Linked DNA regions of Astyanax mexicanus. The main gene of each other region encodes a partner of the protein of the gene in region 2 in a complex. Links are inferred from orthologs where the notes say so. Each region holds a gene or a part of one and is shown on either strand. Other genes may lie near its edges. The genes, in order: psmb8a and psme4b.

The links.
Region 1: psme4b (region 2) and psmb8a share a complex: the UniProt entries of both Homo sapiens proteins name them as parts of the spermatoproteasome. The link is inferred for Astyanax mexicanus from reciprocal best matches to the Homo sapiens genes PSME4 and PSMB8.

The regions. Positions count from the first base shown.
Region 1 is NC_064410.1:22,167,417-22,175,230, reverse strand, and holds the start of psmb8a (proteasome subunit beta type-8), read right to left. Parts: upstream 3,154-7,814; 5' UTR 3,059-3,153; intron 2,737-3,058; 5' UTR 2,731-2,736; coding exon 2,590-2,730; intron 1,195-2,589; coding exon 1,053-1,194; intron 904-1,052; coding exon 792-903; intron 1-791. Other genes in the region: psmb13a (proteasome 20S subunit beta 13a), read right to left, coding at 4,275-4,386, 4,817-4,968, 5,113-5,171, 5,261-5,376, 5,784-5,924, 6,117-6,214, 6,422-6,515. UniProt on the Homo sapiens protein: The proteasome is a multicatalytic proteinase complex which is characterized by its ability to cleave peptides with Arg, Phe, Tyr, Leu, and Glu adjacent to the leaving group at neutral or slightly basic pH.
Region 2 is NC_064422.1:31,571,846-31,579,835, forward strand, and holds the start of psme4b (proteasome activator complex subunit 4B), read right to left. Parts: upstream 3,124-7,990; 5' UTR 2,795-3,123; coding exon 2,598-2,794; intron 964-2,597; coding exon 823-963; intron 725-822; coding exon 608-724; intron 212-607; coding exon 158-211; intron 1-157. UniProt on the Homo sapiens protein: Associated component of the proteasome that specifically recognizes acetylated histones and promotes ATP- and ubiquitin-independent degradation of core histones during spermatogenesis and DNA damage response.

The DNA.
Region 1 (7,814 bases), on a different chromosome or scaffold from region 2:
CCTACACCGTAATTCTTTTTTTGGGCCATAGACTTGCTTGTATGCTTTGAATCATTGTCCTTTTGCATAACCCATCTTTGCTTAAGCAAATCACAATCTGACTATTGGTATTATGTTCTTATGCAGAGTTAGCTTTCCACCAGATTTATCAAGATCCATGTCTTACAAAACATTCTACCACCACAGAATATTATCCCACAGATCCTAAAATTGTGTACGTTGATAGTAACTGAGGCACAAAATGACTGCAGATCCTTAAGATGTTTTTGTAGGCAATGCACACATGCTGAATTTGTTTAACAGGCTGCCCACTAAATTAAAAGTTTCACCACTGTTCAGAATTTTCTCCATTCATGGATAATGACTCCCAAAGACCTAGTTTAAGACTTAGCTTTGTAACACTTCCCCGACTGGCAGACTGTATACATTCTGGGAATGTTTACATCTGTATTTGCATTCGAACACTGTCATTAAATTGTACCTGGGTGTGGTTAGGGAAATTGAACCCAACTATCAACTGAATGTGGTTAATTGAATGATTTAGTTGATATAAGGAATAACTTTTTTTGCATGAAAATTAGCACCATAGCATGTTTAATGCACTTTATCTTATGTAAAGAAAAAGATTTTCCTTTTGGGTGCATAGATGCATCTGCTGAGTTGAGATGACTGGCAAAATTTCCTGACATGGCAACAAATGCACACACATGCGCACACATACACACACACAGTTGATGGTAACTTTATATGTGCACTCCCTCCATCCTCAAACGATTCAAGTTCGAACAAACCTGCACTCTTTAGCCAGGAGTCTTTCCCAGTACTGACAGTCTGCTGCACTGCCGGACATGGTACCCAGCAGGTAAGGGTTGATCTCAATCACCTTATTTGCTTCCTTTGTGTCTATTAGAAACAAAACATATAGGATGGTATAAAAATTACACGACTGGGTGTGGTATTGTAATTTACAATTATGCTATAACTTTTTAATTCTGTGAATATGTGATTTACTTTGTGTAACTTGTGAAGTAAAGTGATGTGAGTATACTTACCTATGTAGTTACCAGCTGAAGCCCTAGAGTCAACTGCCACGATGACGCCATGGCGAAACTTGAAAGCCAGTGTGGTGGTGCCATGGTTCATGTCAATTGATATGCCATCCTCACAGCTGCATGACTGTAGAAAGGTTGATGGCTGAAAAAACACAAGATGATTTTAGAGCCTGTTCAAACATTTTTGATTTATACCACTTACAATTATTATTATTATAGTAACACTGTGTACTTTAAAGTCAGTGAGCAGCTTAAAATATCCATGTTGGGTCTGTATGGGTACCCCAACTGGGAACCAACAAAGGTTTTGTCTACGGCTTCCATGTTGGCACCGCATATGAATGTCAATCGTGTGGCACGGCCCCAACAAGAGTTAGTGATAGGACCATGATAACAGGTTCCTTTTGGGAAGACCAACCGGGTGCCAGTAACAACACATGTAGGCTACAAACCCACTCGGAGCCCATGCCCACCCCAAAATTATCTAGACCACATTCCATCTATGGGAACCCAATTAGGGTCAGTAATGGGACCAGGAGGGGTTACGTGTTAAAAAGATCCAGCTCAAGACCAGCTTGCCATCTGGTCAGTGTACTGTTTAGCACACTGAGTTAAACTTAGTTTAATTTTCTGACTGTATCAAGCTAAATTCAAAAACAGAAAATTGTGTAAAAAAAACGTAATCTTTATTTTATCCATTCAGAGTGAAGAAGAAATGGATTTTCATTCAATTTTTTTATCATATTGTTTTTTATTTCAGCCTTTGGCAAAATAATTTCAAGAGACATTAAAAAGTGAATCTTCTCTTGATTTTCAGATTTGTCCATTTTTGTATCTTGTAACACAAATTTGGGGGTATTCTTGCAAAATACAAAAATGGAACAATCAGAAAATAAATAAAAGATCCTTTTTTATTTTTCCTGAAAATCCAATTGTGAGGTGCAGAAATGAAAAACCTAAAATTGGGAACAATGGATGAAAACTTATTTCTTGTACACTGCACTACATAAAAAACAAGTTTTACGTACAATTTTCTATGTTTTGCATTTAGCCTTTACAGTCTGAAAAATAAATGAATAAACATTACACTGATATCATTACACTTACCCTATCTCTTGACTAGCATAGAGTTTTTATACTGGATGACCAGCTGGTCTTGAGCTGGATTTTTAACAGGGTAAATTATAGGCTCCATCTGAGTTGTGCACTGCACATGGGGCCTAGATCAGAGCCTTGTGGGATTAAGGTGGGCTGTAATGATGAGGCACATTTTGGAAGCCAAACTGGGTCCCAGACAGTAACAACATGTGTAGACTACAAATTCAATCAGAGCCCATGCCCACCTGAATCCCACCTAGACCACACTCCATCCATGTGACTAGTCCCACATGAGCACTTCAACTGTAACGTATTCTAAGTAAGCTATAGTTTAATCGTACTTGTACTTGTACAGGGATGCATGTAGATACGCAGTTGAGGGTGAATTAATCAGGCCACTGGCCGATCATCCATCAGTTATTTATTACACATTACTTACGTCAACTCCAACAGGAACGGCAAATTCTTGTGATTTCACCCCGAAAGAGTAATGATTCGGTCCGTCCACGAAGTGAGCTTGCCTCGAAAACAGTCCAAATCCGGATACGGACGAATATCCACTAACTTCTGCTAGAGCCATGCTGTTCTGTTTAAAACAGCAGACGGTATTATTAGTTATTAGTGTTTCCTGAAACAAGCTTTAGCCCCGAAAAGAGAAAAGCAGATTTTCACCGGGTGAAATGTGAGCAATCACAGGAAGACAACGTATCTGTAGCTGAAACCGAAAGTTTCAGGGATGCTGTTTTTTTAGTTTCGATTTTAGCCGATTTTTCCTGCTTTAACAAACATTTTTAAAGGTTTTCTGAAAATTATATAATTTTACACACTCTCATGTTTACTCGCTTTATACGTTTTTCACTTTAACGTTAAAAAAAATAATTTTTATACGGAAAAGAAAAGACACGCACCTACCTGACGAGTTCCCCACAGCCGGCTGACCAATAGGAGCGCTCGTCTGTGCGCGTCATCAGTTCACAGGGAGAAAGCTCGTCTACAGGTTGCGCTGCAGCAGATTAACTGTAGTTTATTAAAGTGTCAGCTCATGTAGCCTGCTAGCCTGCCTGCTCAAATTGTATACCTTTCTTATCTTTTAATCTATTCTTATTCAGTTATACACTAGCAATTATTTTATGAAACACTCATGTGACACAAATGATACAATGCAAGTAAAACTAGTTTATACTATACTGAAACTGTGGTGTGATTTTAAACGATTCAGTGAAAATATGCAGGTAAATTAAATTGACTTATATTTAAACAATTAGTAAAATAGTATATGAATAAAGTGTAGAATTTTTATGTTTATTGGGTTTTTGAGTGTTTTTCAGAACTTTTTGAAAAGTTTTCCATTCTTCTGTAATAATCTTATAAATAATCTTAGGTTATTTATTAAAACAAAGGAAGTGTAAATTAATATGTGATGCTAAAACGATAGCTAATCCCTATATGCCCAATTTAAAACCTCTGAAATATAGTAATGATTTATTACAAAATTTATATTGACAACACATAAACCGTGTACTTGAATTAAAGTGGTAATACTCAAGGGTAAAATGTTATTTCAGTAAAAGCAAAAGTCCTCAATTCATACCCCCCACTTTTTACCTTTTTACCATTTTTCACAGATGTTGCGCTCCCCGGTATGCGTGTGATGGATAGCTAGGTGTCCAACAGGTTAAAACAAGTGCAAAACATACAGTGTACTCTGATTGGTGTGCTTCCTTTAAGTTTGTTTTAAAATCTAATGTTTTTATGCACACATAAGCCTGTAGTGTAATGACAGACTTTACATAATGGAGTAAAAAGTAAAATATCTGGGTTTAAAATGAAGTAGAGGTAAAGTAAAAAGTTACCCAAGGTAGAGATGTTTCAGTAAATTCACACATATTTTTTTAAACAGTAACTGATTACATTTACTTTGGTATTGTACACCACTCATAATGTCAGCTTGCAATAAACACAAACATGGTTGTATTTTTCCTTTAACCATGAAAACAAAACAGAACATACACAAGTCTAATTTGGTCATTTATTTATTATCATATTCACAACTAACTGAAAATGTGATTTTTGTGCTTTCTGACACCAGTTTATTTTCAAAAACAGAGGGCACAGGAGTTTGGCTCAGGATGTTTCCATTGTTTGAACATTCTCATGCACAAGCTCCAGCTCCAAGCGAACCACCTTCTCTGTCAAAACAGGAGTTGTACCTGGTTTATACTTATATTTTTCCTGTCTGGGAGAGAGAGAGGAACAAACAAAAAGGAAATATTACCCACTCAAGTACTCAGATTTTTTCTAATAATTGATTAGCTCTAGGCAGGACTTTTTTAAGACCCTTATTCAGTGTAGTCCATATTAAGCCTTCAGACGATCACATAACACAATAAAAAAAGAGAATTATTGTCAACAAACTGCTAAAGTGCAGGGTGATTACACTTTGTACAGCTGTTTGCCTGTGCATAATACAGTAATACTGAATAGTCCAATAAGGTACTGCTAGCATATTAACTAATATACCTATAAAATTGACTAAAATCTTTGAAAGGTCAGATTTGACATGTCCACAAAACTTAAAAAAATCTTATACGTGTCACAATAAGGCAAAAAAAGGTCACTTCAGCGTAATAATGTGATCATAACCTGACTGAAATGTCCTTTTTTACCTCTTGTTCGTGTATTCAGATTCCTTATAGGGTCTTATGTAGTCCACCCCTTCCCTGGTGATGACACAGATGTCAATGTTGTTTCCTGAACCCAGGTCACTCATGATGCCTGCATGGATGGCATCGCGCACTAAAAACTTGGCCTCCTCAAGCTAGAAAACAGGATGAAACAATGTGAGAGTTGGTTCATTTTAAGCCAGTACAGTGTTATAAATACCTTTTATTACTAAGGTTGTCTGTGACTGAAGTAAATTGAACATAAGGAAGAATCAGATTATTTTAAAACAGCCAAGTACCTCCAGACTGGGTTTGAACCTGTCTTCCAGAACACCCATAGCAGCTAAATCTCCAGATCCTAAACACAACCATTGATTGAATTAGCAAATAACTGCAGTATCATTAAATTACATGTTTGAATGTGACTTCTGGATGTCATAAACTTACCCATTGCAATAAATGGAACCTTGGTCATGCTTCCAAAAGGCCCCACATTGTAGATGTGACTCCCAGTGCAGTCGACCCCTCCCAAAATGAGATTCGCTCCAATCCCACCTCGATACCTGATATATGACATCAACATTAAAGTAAACAAAAAAGCAACAATAAATGTCAGTTTTTATCACTTTATCACTTGCATTAACATACATTTTATTGGTTGGACCACATGCAGATTTTAATTGATCGCAAGAGAAGCCACAGCCAGAATGTGATATGAACGAATGACCAAGTCACATTTGGAGAGAGGGATCTTAACCACATTAAAAACAGGTGTAAATGGAATGTGTTCCACAAACAAATTTATAAAGATTGTTTGCTGCATCTCATATTTTTTTAGAAACTACAGCAGATGCAAGACATTACATTCTCATCCACCAAATAATTTCATGACTAGAGAATCCCCCTTTGTAAAAGGGCACTGAAAGTAAAATCAGATCTCAAAAAGTGAAAATGGAATGTGCTTGTCAACCTGAAGAGCATATCCTGTATGATGTTAGCTGCCATGACCACTCTAGGATTTCTGCCACTGTTCAAGGAGAAAATGGTGAGGTTGGATGACAGCATGTCTGTAGTTTTTTCTGTGTCTGCAGCAGTCCCTGCTCCACAGCAGCTAAACACATAAAAAAACAGACAGTTGCAACCTCTTATATTTTTCTGTATGAAATCTGAGTAGTGTACACAATCAGTCAGAAGGTTTAAAAACAATTAGATAATTTTATGATACACCACTCTTTCTAACATTAAATTATGAGTAATATTGAGGAAAAATGTTATGTTTTTTACAAGTGGAGGTGCCACTTACTATATGTTTGGAGCAATGTAGTGAATTTTGGCACACATTTTGTCAGCGACTACTTCACTGGAAGTGGCCCTTGTGTCTGCTCCCAGTACCACACCATCCTACATACATAGATAGATAGATAGATAGATAGATAGATAGATAGATAGATAGATAGATAGATAGATAGATAGATAGATAGATAGATAGATAGATAGATAGATAGATAGATAGATAGATAGATAGATAGAAACCAATATTAAACATCACATATAAAGAATATGATTTGAATAATCCTACATTTTGAACTCTCTTCTGATGTTTCATACCTTATACACCACTCCTGCAATTGTGGTTCCAGTCTTCATGGGTTTAGGTGTCTTTGTCTTCTGTTCTCCAAGCACATTGTTCAATAAAACATTTCTGAAAGACAAAGGCAAATGATAAGGTAGCTGACAATCCTAAGACATTATGTCATGGTGTTGCTTACAGGCTACGAAAAAACACACTTTTGATTATTGAATTGTGCTTTTAATGTTTTTTTTTATTGTTGTGGCTATGTTTTCTTTATCTTCTTACTAAAAGAGCTTTCTTTGATTTATTGCTTCTGGGCAACATTATACAGATACATAACGAGGCAATCATGTTGAAACAGTGGTTCCTAATTTTTTGATGGTTAGATCACCACTGTCAAAATGTAGTTTTTTTTCTAAACAAATATGAAAATCAAGCTATAGAGGGATAATGTATAGCAAGCTGTTGTAGGATAAAGAACCATTTACTATCATTTAGGACAAAAATGGGATGTATAGGTGTATGGTGTTAAGGTGAGTAAACATGAACAGGTCCCCTGTCAGGTGCTCCTCTAATGAAGAAGTGCTCAGAATTAAATGGGGCACTTTAGTTTCTGAATCAGTTTTCTCTGAGTTTGCTATTTATAGGTAAAAACTATGGACAACATTTCTCCCAAATTCCAAATAAAATATTGTCATTTAGAGCATGTATTTGCAGAACATGATAAATGGCTAAAATAAAGAGGATACAGAGCTTTCAGACCTCAAATAATGCAAAGAACACAAGTTCATATTCATAAAGTTTTAAGAGTTCAGAAATCAATATTTGGTGAAATAACACTGTTTTTTAAATGCAGTTTCACACTTTCACACTGCTTTTGGATAACTTTGTGCCACTCCTGGTACAAAAAAAATCAAGCAGTTCAGCTTGGTTTGACGGCTGTGATCATCCATCTTCCTCCTGATTGTTTTCCAGAGGGTTTCAATTTGGTAAAATCAAAGAAACTCCTAATTTTTAAGAGGTCTCTTATTTAGGGCTGTATGTGTTCAATTTTAGTCCCTGCTAGAATTTTCCGACAGCAGGGAGTTTAATACACAGACATCTGTAATCTGGCGATGAATTAGGACTCAGTAGTTTGAGTTTAAGGCTAAAACTGCTTGCTATATGAGCGCGGCTGCAGATCGTGTCACGGCAGGTCACGGCGTATCTCTCTCCTCAGAGCGATGCGATGCTTCCTCAAACGAAAATAAAAGATTTCACCGTATTATGTTTCAGAAGCAGCTAATATAACAAACTTCCTCGTTTGTTGTGAAAACTTCATGTGAAGCGAAATATATGAGGTTAAATAACGCGTTTTTGTCGAATTAAAAAATTAAAATACGTATTAAAATACTTTCGCTTTTGGTGAGAGTGTAGCTCTCAGTACAC
Region 2 (7,990 bases):
AATACAATGGCTGGCAAAGCTGTGTTGCGGACCAGCAGTGGATTTTGAATTCGGTTTAATTTCAGATGCATGCAATTAATACCAGAAGCTGCCCTATAAAGAGTACAATACAAGTAAGTAGAGTACAATACATGTAAAAAACACTGGCTATGCTTACCGCTTGCGAACATAATTAAGCATTTTTTGTTTAGGGGAGGCTTCTGCTCGACAACTAAATGTGAGAAAAGGAAAGACGCATAAGCCAACACTAAACACATCAACTGAGATCTTACACAGTAATTACAATTTAATGGGTTCTTCTAAAAATAGCTGCTGTATTTTATGTGAGGCTAATTTAATAAGGTGGTACTAAGAAGAATTATAATTTCTTAGAATGGCCAAGACTGAAATTCAGCATACTTAAACATCCACAAACTGAACTTTAAAGACGTAAACAGAGAATTCAGAAGCTCTTCCTTTTCCATAAACACAGTCTTAAGACTAGGACTGCCTACTACCAGTGTGTGTGCATCCCAAACATAAACATCTGGCACAAGGTGCAATGTTAATATTTAAAAAAAGACAAAGTTCCATTGGCATTTGTGAAGACCTTAAGTAAGAAACCTACTTTGGAAACCAGTTGAGACCAAGATGTTCGGTTTTTGAGTAAAGGATCTTCTCATAGAGCTCGTACAAGGGTCTCCAAGGCAACTCCAAGTCATCCTGTGACAGCAACTCTTTTTTCCTAGAAATGGCATAAGAAAGCATGTTCAATAACGTGGGCCTTTATTTCAAAATTACATTTTCTTCTCAGTATTGTAAAACTAGTTTAAAGCTGCGTACTTGAGTAAATTGATGAGGAGTCGAGCAAAGCTCTGCATCATGCTGATTTCCAGCTTAGGGATGGTGACCAGCTCGTACAAGAGCTTAATGAAGAGCACATGGTCTTCCTTACTGAACTTTCTGCCATAGAGACGAAGATACCTGCCAGTGATATACAGAAAAAATTATCAAAGAGAGAAAGCAGAGTTCATAAACACATCAGTAACCAGCACAAATATAGGTGACTCTAAACTTGTGAATGGACAGATGTTATGTAGCTACAGTGGTCATGTGATGCACAAAAAAAGAAAAAAATGCAGTGGGGTAATGTTATGTTGTATCAGGAAAAGAGTGTAGCAATGTCTAAAAAAAATATAGTAAAACACAACAAGTACAGTTGTTTTCCACTGAAAAACGTAGGACACACAGCTGTCTTTTGTCTGTCAAAACAACTGACAGCATCTAGAGTCAAAACATGACAATATAGCTAACCTAACCTATATTGTTTTGAGTAGAAATGTGTGTAGCAGTGTTCTGTAAATGACCGAACGTACAGTAAATTGTAAAAACACAAAATAAACACGTTTTCAACACAAACTGCAGATTGTTAGAGGCCAGACAGAGAGCTAGCTCACACTAGGTTATCTAAGAGTATTGTTGTTTTGCAGTGTCATGATATGTCAGGTCATGAAGTGGGAGCTGAAAACTATCAGCTAGCTATAGTTAGCTAACCACAAGCTAAATCACACAAATTCCTTAATGACAAGCTTAAACAAAAGCTTTTGACCATATAACTGCTAGGTAGGGTAAAATATAGTTTATGCTTCCCTGTTTCCCCACTTTTCTAGCTATATTATTAGCCCATACTACTGTTAGCTGGTCTTTAACAAAGACGGTCAGTGAGCAGCTTCTGGAATTAGCCACAACTTGCTGAGTTATCGTTAGCTAGCTTGCCACCGGTTGCAAGTCAACAAGATAAGCTAGCTTTAATGCTAAAGCGACGCACAGCTATCCTATAATGTTAGTTTAACTTAGCTAACCTGGCTATACACCGCTTACTTATCGTTAGCTAGCTTAACTAGCGCTAAGCTAACTAAGCAAATGAGTGACTCAGAACTTGCTAACTCATCTGGCTAGCGAACCACCGGTTGCAAGTCAACAAGCTAGGGTAAGTTACAAGCTAAACGCTAAAGCGAAACACACATCTAACAGATAATATTAACTAGATAAGAACTGGTTCGCTAACGTTACTTTTAGGGCCATATTTAGCTAAGCTAACAAGCTATCTGCACTGTAGGTTTATCTAGTTAATTACCTAACTAACATAAAAAACTCGAATAAAATTACTAACATAGCTAAAGCTTGCTAACTAACTATTTAGAAACAGAAAACCTAACTATATGCACTGTCGGTTCATTTACACACAAACAAACCGATAAAATTAATAACTTAGCTAACGTAGCTACACATAGATACGCTAAGCTAACTAGCGTTAGCTAGCCCTAGCCATCTAAGCAAATGAGTGACTTAGAACTTGCTAACTCATCTAGCTTCCTTAGTATAACACAGCCGTAGCGTTAGCTAGCTAGCTAGCTTAGATAGCTATAACCTAGCAGGCCCAGCCATTCAGCTTATTTGGGTTAGCTATATAGCATTAGCTAGCTAGGCTAAGTTCAGCTTATTGCCGGTTAAACCCTGAAGTGTGTGTGGTGTATTTGCTGAAGGGAACATAGCTAAATAACACTAACTACTAACTTAACATTTTTATTTCGACGTCTAAAAGCAGCTATACTCACGTCGAGAGTTTTCTCGTCCAGAAGAGAACTCCGGGCCACAGCTCCCTGAGATGGACAGCCCGAGCCAAGTTCCCCTTGATGCTGGCCAAAATGATATTAGACTCATTGTCTAGTTTGTCTGCATAAGGAAGGAGTTTGTTGTAGACAATGTCTTTCTGAGGGACAAAACCTAAGGTGTCCTCCTGGTCCTTTTTCATATTACACTCCCCCAATAGCTGGATCCTCTCCTGGACTTGTTTGCTGTAGTATCTATCCTCTTAGTCCTTGACAAGTTCCCCTGACAAATCTTTTATTGACACATCCGAGACTCCCCGTCTGTCGTCCCGAGAACTCGACTCGTTTATTGTCGACACGATCTCTCAAGCACGTGGACGAAAGTTGCTCATTCGCTCCTTCTGACACGCGTAACATTAGCCTGGGTCACCCACATATAGCTAGGAGTCTCCCTTCACTTTCCTGGACACACACATAGCTAACGAACTGGACACACAACTGGCGGTGGGTAGCATAGCAGAGCCTCCCTCCCTGCACATATGCTGCACATACACAGAGGGCGCCCCTCTCGGTGCCTTTCCGCCACTTCATCTAGTTATTAAACGTGGATGAAATGTGGGCATGGATCAGTGCAGGCAGTCATTACATTAGCATCAGTAGTGACTGACAATAGAGACAAAATAGAAACAAGAAATGATTATATATGAAGCAGTGTGTTTTTTTTTCTCTCCTTTCACTTTAATCAACAAAATTGTTGCTAATCCTCCAACAATCACACAATCACAATCACATAGGGATCATACCTGCCTGGATCTGATAAATCTGCAAAGCTGTTTTTTTGTAGTTATTTAACATTAAAACATTAAAGGGTGTGCAATCCACATAAACATGTGACTATGACTATATATTTATACTATAATACTTTTAGCTATTAAATGAAAACATCTTAGAACCATTTCCTATGAGCCTGTAGATCATGTGATGGAAAATGTGAAGTCAAAATAAATAATCAAAATCAACTACAATAATTGACAAACTGATAATTTTTCCCTTTTCCTATACAGCGTATTCACTAGGGGTGTCACGATTCTCTAAATCCTCGATTCGATTTCATTTTCGATTTGAGGGTCACGATTCGATTCGATTCTCGATTTTCTTGTTTTTTTTTCTTGTTATTATTTTATGCCTCATAAAATTTAAATAATATATTTATTATTATTATTATTATTATTATAAATATTATAAATATTATTATTATTATTTATTAAGATATATATGGTAATGCCATCTAGTGACTTTTTTTGGTAGCAACAGTGTGCACTATTAAAATAAGCAGTTTATCAGAGCTGTGTGTGGATGGCTGGTGAAACTGCTCATTACATGAAGCTGCAGTTCTTCATCCAACCACTAGCAGCAGCAGCACAAGCCCCGCTCTTTTCACTCAGTCACTACTTCAGTACAGCCCAGCCACGGGCTACAGAGCTCAGCCAGTCCGTTTTTACTGTTTCTGTAAACAAATAAAGGTTTTAACCCCACTAACCGGATAATACAGCTCACTACAGTTCATCTTTCAGCCCAAGCAGCTAACAGCAGCAGGTTAGAACAGCCGACACGGAGGCACTGCTCGGAATACATTATAAACAGGTCAGTTAGCGCGCTGCTAACCTCAGGATGTTTATAACTACGGAGTTTAGTGGACACACCACAGCCGCCAGGTAAGTCTTTTAAAGGCTACTGAAGACTATTAAAGGCTATTAGAGTGTAACCCCTGGCTCCCAGGGGTTACAAGAGGTTATTGAAAGCATTATTGGGGGGCAGAAATCAGTACAGGCTGGTTAGATAAGTGATGTGGGTATTGTCTTATAAATATTTACACATAACTTATATCTCTCCTGAAAAGCTTTTATTTTAGTCAGAAACACGCTTGTGTTTACTTTATCTGAGAGAAAGATGTTTTTTTAATTCAATGGAAAGCAACAGGTGTAGTCAATTATAAGTTTAAGATTTTTAATCCACCTCACTGTGATCTATAGTCAGTGTTCTCAAGTCACACTGACACACGCATTTCAGCGAGTTCACACGCTCTCACCTGCGCGCACCCACCCCTCCGTTAGATACAGATACAAAACCTGCGCGCCCAACCCCCGCCCCCCCCTCCCCCGTTGGACAGATAAAAACAGTGATCACACTCCCGCCGACTGCGCTCATGCAGTGGCTATCTCTATTTAAATGAATAGGATGCGCTGTGTTGGTGCCGCGCCATTTGCGTAGCGCGCTGCGCTATTTGCGTAGCGCGCGCGGGAGGGATCGTCGATCCTCTTTTTGACTTCGATACTCGAGATCGTGACCTCATTTCGATTCGATTTCGATAAAATATCGAGATCGTGACACCCCTAGTATTCACACAGTTTAAATGGTTTATCAGTGCCGATGGCATAATGAGATCACTTCAATCCTCTTTGCTCTTTCTTTATTCAGTGACCCAGTGCAGTGATATTGTTCCAACACTAATGTAGTCAGGATGTGTAGCTAAGTCACTGCATAGTTAGTTGCCTGGTTGAGGTTACGTTCTTAACTTGTGGAGTTAAGAACATTCTTAGCTTCCTTAGTTAAAGTAGTGAAGGTCTAATATAGAGTTCACAAATCTCGTGAACCAAAAAGGGCCAGTGTGAATGCAGTATTTAATTCCAGAAACACACCAGACACCTGTTGAAAGGTCTCAGTCTATAAACATTTGATAAGTTATATGAAGCCAGATCCTGAATGAAAACCTAATGTTTGCATCAAATCAGACTGGTCTACCACAAAACAGCAAGCAGCATGGCATCCTCAGTGGTTCAGTATCAGTGGGTGACACCAAAACCCACTTTTTCTGTGCCAGGCCAAATCACCTCAGACTAATCAAACTCCAAACACAAGTTTCTGCTGGGAACCACATAAACAAACACACAGACACACACCTTTTACCTGGAGCTAGGCCAGATATCTAGTCTAATCTCATCAAGCTCACATCCTGCATCCCTTACAGCCAATCAGAAAATGTCACATTGTCCTGGCCGGCCAATTGCATGCGCTGACCTGTTCTTAGCCAACCAAACCAACCTCTTTGCCCGGAGGGTCAATTAGTTCTAGGAAAGCAGATTTATCCTCTTAGATCATAGGTATTTTTAATGAGATCCTGGATTAACCAGCCTCTCGCTAGCTTCTCAAAGACAGGCCACTTCAGTTGCAGCAGTTGTACCACAGGATATGCAGGTGGCCCTATAGCTCAAATCATTTATATATTTTTAAATCCCAAATGAAGTTCATGAAACAATGCTTTTCAACTACCAGATATAGATTTACTAACTATTCCTGCCGTTTGTCTAATAATGCAATTCTGCAAGCTCAGTATAATTCATTATTTCTATATCTTATCAGCTGTTATATTTGTGCCAATTTATAAAGTGTGCCCTCAATCTGTGCAGATAGGCAGGAAACAGCTCCTTGACCAGGAGACACACACTGTCACCATAAATCACATTAGAGGACATTTTTAGTAAATCCCCACTGACCCAGCAGGATGAGGCCACGTTCTCCTTCTCCTTCAGCTTCTACTAACAACTGAGACATGATTGCCCTCTTCAGGACAAATCAGAAAACTCCTGGAAAAGTGTTCACCTGGAACAGAGATAAAATACTGTAAGCAGTACTGGGAAAGTTACTGGGAAATGTGGAAATTCAGTATACAGATACTAATCTTTCCACAGTGTGTATTTACCCTTACATCACTGCTTACACTAGCAGCAGAAAGTAGATAAATAAAACATTGCTGTTTGATTAGAAAATTATGCAACTCATCTAAAAGATGGCCATAAAGTAGATTTACCCTTATGGTTTTGACAATAACTACTCATATTTTATTTTGACATACACTATTCATATACATAGGAGAGGGAAACACATTATTTGAACATCAATTTTATGCCACAGATAACAAAACAAATATACAACCCCACATCAGGAAATATTTAAATAAAAACACAATGTGTCTAAAAAACTATAAATATAAAAGTATGTGATAAGATGCAACAGATTATTGTAGTCATGATTTGACACAAAAACAATATCCATTAAAAACAGCATCCATTTCCGTATACATAAGTGATTTAGTATATTACATAATAATGAAAATGTAAAAAGCATAATCTTACTAAATCCAACAGTGTTTTTCCGTAAGTATATTAGTGTGCAGTTGTTGTTCAGACTCATGCTTTTAATGCGTGCAACATATAATGCGTAAATTCTGTTTAAGCTGGTCTTTAATTCCAAAAGTTGATTCTCTGATTCCACTTATTTGGGAATTGACTTAACATATATGTGCTTATGCTTATTCACGTATATTCTGCTGTCACTATTTAGAGACCAGTAATTTAGCTTTTTTTCTCTCTTGAAATCCAGTCCTGTAGTCTTGCTGTATTTTATCTTAAAATCCCAGTCCCGCAGTCTGCCTATATTTTAAATGTGACTAACCAACAAACAGGATATCTAATTCTGAAACACATACTTACCTAAAATGTAGTTAGGCCCTGTTTAGCAAAGCTGCCTTACTATGGTAAATAGATACCAAACTTACATATAACCAAACTTAATAAACATAATATATATATATATATATATATATATATATATATATATATATATATATATATGTGTGTGTACATACATAGACAGTATATCAACATTTTTCTATGTACTTAATTAATAATTTATATTTTATTTTAACAAAATAAAATAAGTCACATTCTAAAATATCTGAAAATCCTAATACACCACTTTTTAAAGATGCCAAAGGCAGAAGTAAAAGATCATCACTGGACTGGTCAACACACTTGGAGGAGAACATTAACTGTCAGCTCTGATTTGTAATTTGTTGTAACATTTTGCCCCTAGAGTTTTGATAAAATGGATTAAACAGAGCTGGGAAGAATGACAGGCTACAGGGACATTAGTAAGGTCTGGAAATAAAATATATTAATAAAAAACAATATAGTGCACAATATTTTTTTTTCAGTAACAGTGTTCTGTTAGCAATACATTTTCTTGCAAGCTTCTTCCGGAAGTAAATGTTCTGTGACTGATTGACTGATTGAATATGGGACCGCAATGTTTAGCTTTTACCCCAGCTTTCTGAAAGCACTCTACCTCTGTGTCTATTATTGGTCAGTAATGAAAGGCTGAGCGGTTCCAGCATGGCTGTTCCTTCATAATGCTTTAAGCAGAGGTGCTTGAGGCACATTTGTAAAAGGAATGGCAGTGAAAGTTGGTCCACAGGGATATCAGGGATAGCAGGCTGACATTTGATATTTAGTTGAGCTTAGTTTAGTTTGTGGTTGTGGAAAGACTGTGTTGTTTTCTGG